Linked DNA regions of Danio rerio. Each later gene encodes a partner of the first gene's protein in a complex. Links are inferred from orthologs where the notes say so. Each region holds a gene or a part of one and is shown in the gene's direction. Other genes may lie near its edges. The genes, in order: flt4 and vegfc.

Evidence for each region.
Region 2: the proteins of flt4 (region 1) and vegfc are in contact, whole or in part, in a crystal structure (PDB 4BSK), measured with the Homo sapiens proteins. The link is inferred for Danio rerio from reciprocal best matches to the Homo sapiens genes FLT4 and VEGFC. Residues at the interface, in NP_891555.2 of Homo sapiens: Gln172, His199, Asp200, Ala201, Leu202, Tyr203; in NP_005420.1 of Homo sapiens: Leu119, Asp123, Trp126, Gln130, Asn167, Arg210.

The regions. Positions count from the first base shown.
Region 1 is NC_133189.1:18,154,896-18,158,728, reverse strand, and holds part of flt4 (vascular endothelial growth factor receptor 3 precursor), read left to right. Parts: intron 1-3,615; coding exon 3,616-3,742; intron 3,743-3,833. UniProt on the Homo sapiens protein: Tyrosine-protein kinase that acts as a cell-surface receptor for VEGFC and VEGFD, and plays an essential role in adult lymphangiogenesis and in the development of the vascular network and the cardiovascular system during embryonic development.
Region 2 is NC_133176.1:41,980,743-41,984,575, reverse strand, and holds part of vegfc (vascular endothelial growth factor C precursor), read left to right. Parts: intron 1-1,128; coding exon 1,129-1,268; intron 1,269-3,833. UniProt on the Homo sapiens protein: Growth factor active in angiogenesis, and endothelial cell growth, stimulating their proliferation and migration and also has effects on the permeability of blood vessels.

The DNA.
Region 1 (3,833 bases):
TTGTAAAGCATCTGCTTCACGTTGCTGTGTCAGAACCCTAGCTTGTAAAATATGCTTTAAAACGCTTAGTTTAAGCAAATTTGATGAACGCAATCATGCGTGTTGATCTGAAGAGTGTCGCTCTCGCTCACTGAATGCACTGTGCTGCATGAATTGCGTGTGTCCGTTCCATAAGCAACAAGAACAAACGCCTGACATCGCTTGCCCATATTCCTCAAGAGTTGTTTAGAATGAAGTGTTTAGAGATGGTGTGACGTACAGTACCTATGTGTGCCTTTGATGCACCCCTTGCTTCTTACGTCCTTGTCGCAGCACCAGTGGCACCAAAATTAGGCACTGAAATTCATATGCTGATTCGGTCTAGTACATACTGGTTACAAAGGTACCCAACCCTAGATTTAACTGGCATTTGTGGATGTAACTAAATATTGCAGTATTTGCCAAAGGTTTGCCAAAGTACTCCTGAGCCTATGAGGTGATATCGCTTACAGATAAATGACGATTCTTGATGCAGTGCCGCCTGAGCAATCGGAGGTCACAGTTGTTCAGCTTAGGCTTGCGGCCTTGTCCTTTGCAAACTGAAATTCCACCAGGTTCCTTGAATCTTTTAATTTTGCACTGTTAAAGGTGACATATCCAAATGTCTTCCTATCTTTCTTTGAGAAAGATTTGAAAATTGCCAGAATAGTGATCCTCAGTCCATCTTTGCTCCTAAAAGACTAGACCTTTCCTGGATGCTACCATTGTACCAAATCATAATTACAATCAGCTGTTGACATCACATGTTTTAAATCACATCATTTTTTAACCAATTTACCTGATTACAGCTGTAGCCCTAAATTAAGAGCCTAAATTGCTCCTGTCCCAACTTTTTTAAAAATGTGTTGCAATAACCAAAATCCAAATACCAGTTTATTTTACGAAAAAAAAAAAACCTCTATAAAATCATGAGGAACACTTTAAATAATGTTTGTTGTATTGTCTGCAATAAAATACAAGTCAAAGTAATTTTAGAAATCACTACTTTCTTTTTTATTTGCATTCTACTTATGATTTGGGCTTGTAAATGGCTCACATTACCAGATATGCACAGATCGTGGTCATCGACAAGATTTTATATCACATTCTAAGGATGTGAAAATTGAGGATAAATTGGGCTAAAACTCTCAAATCAAAGGATATCGACATTGTGATGGGATTCTGCTCCCAGTGTCAGCACTGGATCAATGAGAGTATTAGATGATCTTGCGAAGCCCTCAAAATCACCACTGAATGTCGAATGTCAGTGCTCATAGTTCACGTTGAGTTCAGAGTGGATAGACTTTGTCTCTTTTGGCAGTCTCTTACTGGTCAGGGATGCTCTTTCCCGTGTTTTCAAAAGCGTTGTTTATTTTCTCTGCAGTAAAGTCTGAGCAAGCGGTGCGGTGGCAGCTTTTCTTCCGTGTTCGCTGGAGATAAGGCAGCTGGGGAAGGTGGAGAGGTTAGGAGGGCGTTAAGGATATTTATAGTGTTCTGCTTGGAGAGAGCACAGTGTGAAGGGCAGAGGCCTGTCGTCTAAACAACAGGAAACACGGAGACAGGCGGCATTTAAGCATCCTCTGGCCCCGATAGAGGATGTCTTGGATCTGCTACGAGGTTTGAATTGCTTGTGGAGTTTAGCTTGGAGGGTCTGCAGTTTGGGCGGCAGCTGAATCATTCAGACAGGCCCAGAGAGAGCCACAGGCGCACCGCAATTCCCATCTGCTTCAACATTACTCCTGCACGCTCAAACCACAACCTGGAGTGCTTTATAGATTTATCAGCACTCATTATTTCTTGAAGTCAGGCTAGGCGTTCCACTTCAAGGTTGTAGAAATGTGTAGATATTAGCACTGCTCCAGAGGTTACACTTTTTTAAAGGTTAGGTATATAGTTTCATGTTTTGAGTCACGGAGCAGGATTATAAAAAGCCTATTTTCAAGCAACGAGTGCCATTGAATTCCTTCATAATTTAAAAACAACACTGATGTTAATACTTGTTTTACCCAATTGAGCACATTTACATTCACACCAATGAACAGCTTACTTCAATAGCTTAACCAATGATTTAGTAAAGCACATTCAGACTTTATTAATAAATCAGTTTACTGTATTTTGCTGTACTGAAGTCAAACCTTAATAATTTACTATCCAACTCAGAGGCTTTAATTTGTTTTGTCAGTTGTCATGTTAAATAAATCATTTAGCATCTGACTTAGAATCTTGCTGTGTGTCAGCGGGAAATTTACATCTCACACTCAGCAGTTTGATTGTACCACTTCTACATCCGCTGAATGATATTAGAACACACTTAATGCTTCGGCCAAGAAAGAGCTTGAGTTTGCGGTATATTTCCTCTTCCCATCCCAAAAAAACATTTGCTTTGTCTGGATATGCATCAGTCTGCAGTTGAGTAACATGGGTTCCTTTCACATATCACAGATGCACACTTTACTAAGCTGACAGAAAGCAGGCCAATGATCTGTGCTGCTGACCATGAGGCTTTTTAATGGTGGCATTATTATCTAACTATCTATCTATCTATCTATCTATCTATCTATCTATCTATCTATCTATCTATCTATCTATCTATCTATCTATCTATCTATCTATCTATCTAACTATCTATCTATCTATCTATCTATCTATCTATCTATCTATCTATCTATCTATCTATCTATCTATCTATCTATCTATCTATCTATCTATCTATCTATCTATCTGTATATCTATCTATCTATCTATCTATCTATCTATCTATCTATCTATCTATCTATCTATCTATCTATCTATCTATCTATCTATCTATCTATCTATCTATCTATCTATCTATCTATCTACCTACCTATCCATCCATCATAGCAAAGTGTTCTGGTCATTTTGTATGAGTGCATTTAAATGTACAGTAACAGGTGGTTCCCATAATGCATATGTAATGGAGGCCAGCTAGTGTTGTGCTGTGCAGATAAACCTCTCTCCTCTGACCTCTTTAGCCTTCTCTTGGTCTTTAGCCTCCTTGTTAGTGCAACTAACTCCCATGCGAAGAGTCCCTGGATCGATCCCAGCTCGAAGCGGGTTGGGTGATGTAGGGCCGGCAGGGTTACACATATTTCATTATTGAGTGTGCTTCAACAATACTGTGAAAACAATAAGTACAGTAACATACTGTAAATGGCTTATACAGCAAGAATATATTTTCAGATGTTCAACTGTGAAATCAGCAAAAAATCATTTACAGTTAAAAACTTTAATGATTATCAATTAGGTAATTTGTGTGTACAAAACTTTATTTCTTGATTATTTAATATTTGATAGGTAAACAGCTGACTGGGTTTAGTAACAGAGCCATTGTGCTGATTCGTTTAGAATAGATGATTTAAAGCTTAACAAACATGTGTGTGGCCTTCATTTGTCAAACCTTGCTTAGCTCTCATCACACACAGGAAGGCAGAGTCTAAAGCTGTTCCTGGAGTAGAAATTGTCAGTGTGAGCATCCTGGATCCTGATATGTCCCTCCCAAACACTCACACACATTAGAGAGTGATATTCATAGAATCTATGTGCTGACACACATATTTTGTGTTTATATGTTCACAGGAGACGGAGGGGTGGACGAGACCAGAGTCCTTTCTGTCACAACTGGATGGATTTGGACCCTGAACATGCTGTAAACCCTATTGAGAGTATTGACACATTGACTCAGATGGTGGACGGCAAAGAAAAGGTTTCACTTCCTTTTTGAATTATTACTATTATTTCCTGAAGATTTCCCATAAATGTCTGAATAAAAAAAACTTTGTGTCCGTAACCTGAAC
Region 2 (3,833 bases), on another chromosome or scaffold:
GTTTTTGTTGTTCCAGGTCTCTATGACTTTCTTTCCACATTCATTTCTGTGCCATAACAGTTATCATCTAAAGCCTTCAAAAAGAAAGAAACCATAAAAGTTTTCTAAAAGTTAAATTTTAAGAATGTTAATGAGTGAATGTCAATCTTTTTCTCATTTAAAGCTATTTTGTGGCATCAGAAAATTGTGAATACAAAACAAGTCATATGGACCAGATGTATGATGCTTTTATTGTGTATTTATGTTTATGCTTTTTTTTTCAAAGTTTGAACAATAGATTTTTTTTTTTGCTTTTAATTTTTTAAACACCATTTTAAAGTCAAAATTATTAACCCCTTTAAGCTATATATTTTTTTTTCGATAGTCTACAGAACAAACCATCATTATACAATAACTTGCCTAACTACCCTACTTTGTCTAATTAACCTAGTTAACCTGGTTAAGCCTTTAAATGTCATTTTAAGCATTAATAGAAGTGTCTTGAAAAATCTTTTGTAAAATATTATTTACTGTCATCATGGCAAAGATAAAATAAATCAGTTATTAGAAATGAGTTTTTAAAACTGTTATGATTAAAAATGTGTTTTAAAAAATCTTTTCTCCGTTGAACAGAAATTGGGGGAAAAATAAACGGGGGGGCTAATAATTCAGGGGGCTATTAATTCTGACTTCAACTGTATGTGCTATATTTTAGCTACATATTCTCATTACCACTACTTCTAATTGCTCATTCAACATACATTCTTAGGAATGTTTCCCTATAGCTGGAGGAAGTTGTGATTTATTGGTGTAACAGTATTTGCCTGCCTTGCAAATTATCTAGCACAAGTTCCCCATTACCCATTTCCCCTTACCAGTCTGTTTGATCATACTCTAGTTGTGGTTGTTTGAACACTCAAAGATTTCAGAGAAACTCTGTGTAATCTCGCAGTTGCACAACTCATTTAAACATAAATCTTTTCATTAATCTCGATTCAGATATAATTGACAGACCACATTTCATTTTGACATCCAGCACACTCCTTAAAGATTAAGTAACCTTTCCTACGATTTCACATTTACGTCAGATAGTCTGCATTAGTCTGATTTCACTGAAAATATGACCTTTCTTCTATTTTCATCCCGCAGTTGTTTGAAATCACAGTTCCAGTCAAGCAAGGGACCAAACCGGTCACCATAAGCTTCGCCAACCACACTTCCTGCAGCTGTTTGTCAAAACAAAATTTGTACCGACAGCAGCACTCAATCATACGAAGGGCCCTAACAGAGTAAGTGTTCAAACACACAAGTGTTTTTCTTTTACATCTACAGTATTTTCATTTTTCTGTTGCTTTGAACGCTTAGAAGGTTTCAACAGAATGTCATTATATTCTAAAACACATGTCTATTCCAGGTGAAATATTTGATTGCACTGCAATTACTTGTGTATGGGTATACTGAACATATTAAAGCTAGAGTTTCAAATCTATTTCAAGTCACGAATGGAACACCTTATTGTTGCAAAGACAATGATAATGATGATTGTATATTCAATTTTGACACTATTTACCACGTTTTTGTAACATTATGCTGGTTATGTCTGGTATGACATAATGTGACATCTTGAATGAAGATATAAGAACTTGCGCACATTTTAGCTCTGTTACAAAATCTAGCCTGCCATGTACATGCAAAGAAAAAAATATATAATGGAATTTTCATGGATAAAAGCTATTTGAAGGCAAAGTTTTACTAGTTGGTTACTTGGTTTTTTCATTTTGAATGGCAGGAAGATGTTTTAGAACTGATAAAGAAGCAAATTTCAATTAAGGGCGCATTCACACTATGCTATTCGAACCGTGCCCAGGCCCATTTCTCTGATAGTTTGAGAAGTGTAAGTGCTCTGAATTTGGCTCAGGCGGTTCACTTGGACTTTGGCGCGGTACGCTTGTGTGTGAGTGCAAAACCAGCCTGAGCCTGAAACTGAAAGCGACACGTAACTTTTAAGGGACTGTTTTATATGGATTTATTATTCATTCTTACTGTTCAATGAACACAAAAACTGTCGTAGTAAATTAAAGATGCAAACCCCTCACTGCACCACAGCTGGACCTAGAGCAAACCTCCTAATTCCTGCAACACGAGGACTTTATGATTGTTTATGAGCGTCAAAAGTGGCTGATCTCTTCGGTGAAATATTTGACTGCGTGTCACTGCATATCAAATGACTAAAGTGATATAACTGAAGAAATCCTTAGTTTCCTAAGCGTGCCCAGACCCGAATGTAATGTGAGTGCGGGCCATCGGGGAAGACGGGAGGGGGGACAATCGTGTACAAAGTGTGAGTACACCCTAAGTTATGATTATTTGACCAAACCATAGAAGCTAATGTCCTAATAATCTAGTTAATACACGGTAAAAGCAAATATACATGCAAATATTTGGTTAAACTACTTGTTTAAGCACCTACATTATAAAAACTATTTTTATTCAAAACTTGATGGAAAAGTTCAATGTACAGTTGACATTTCTCATCAATCATATTAAAGGTTTGTTGCTTTATTAAGATTTTCACTATATATTCTGAGCGCTTTTTCCTTCCTGATAAAAAATATCCTATGGTGAAAATCATCTTTTGTAAGCTGTTTGGACAGAACTGTGTGTATGTACAGTATAGTGTGTCCACTGTCATATTGGGGTGATATAAAGACAATAAGTTTCTTTTTTTTTCTAAAATCTTTTTAAAAATTTTCTAATGTTAAAATAGGATACAAATCCTTCCCATTTTGAGGCCCACAGCAACTTAACGTAGGAGTCTGGATTCCCAACCGACCAAATTGATTGACAGTTTCATATTAACATGTCTCCATAGCAACGAGTATAATCATATCAAAGCAACTGGGATTAAAAGATCTGTTCAGCTTGCTGTGATTTTCAATCATCATCAGATCAGATCTGATCAAGAATGAGATTTACAAGTTTAAAACATGTTTAAAAAGAGTGCATGCTTATAATAAAGACAATAAAATTGCATTTATTCATCAGAACAGCCACGTCAGCACAATTATAAAATTATAATTATAAAATTATAATTTTTATAACAATTATAAAAAAGACACTTCAATTGCAGTTTGTGGATGTTAAATCAGGTTTATTTTGTACATTAGCATAACGTATATCCATACAGCAGTGGATATTAATGTGTCCTGTCACATTTGCCATGCAAAAAGAGTTCAAAGTTAAATGCGCACTGTGTGTGTGTGTGTGTGTGTGTGTGTGTGTGTGTGTGTGTGTGTGTGTGTGTGTGTGTGTGTGTGTGTGTGTGTGTGTGTGTGTCTGTGTGTGTGTGTGTGTTTGTGAACTTTGCAATGACATTGTGTGTGACTCATCATTGCAGAAAGGCTTGAATTAACTCCACAAAAAAATACATCAAATAATCATTGGGAAAGTTCCTACTGTAGTATTTCTCACACATGTTACGTGAGGTCTGCTTCCTTCATGTCTGTCACTGTACTGTTTATCTGATGCAGCTGAGGTAAAGATTGAGGCACACTCTGACAGGCACATGTGAACGGTGGGCACATTGTATTCAGAGCAGAAAATGTAAATATTCTGAAAGGTATAATAAATAATCTGATTGGGTGTTTTGAGCTGAAACACATTGTGGAGACACAATAGACTTAAATCTTGAAAAAGGGGTAAATAGGTGCCCTTTAAATGCTGCTTTGGATGAAAGTGCATAATTGTAGATGTAAATTTTCTTTAAACCATTTGTGTTTCTTCACACAAATCTTGACTGAAATGAAGTGCTGAAGTGTGAAAACGTACTTGCATATAGTGCAGGATACCCTGAT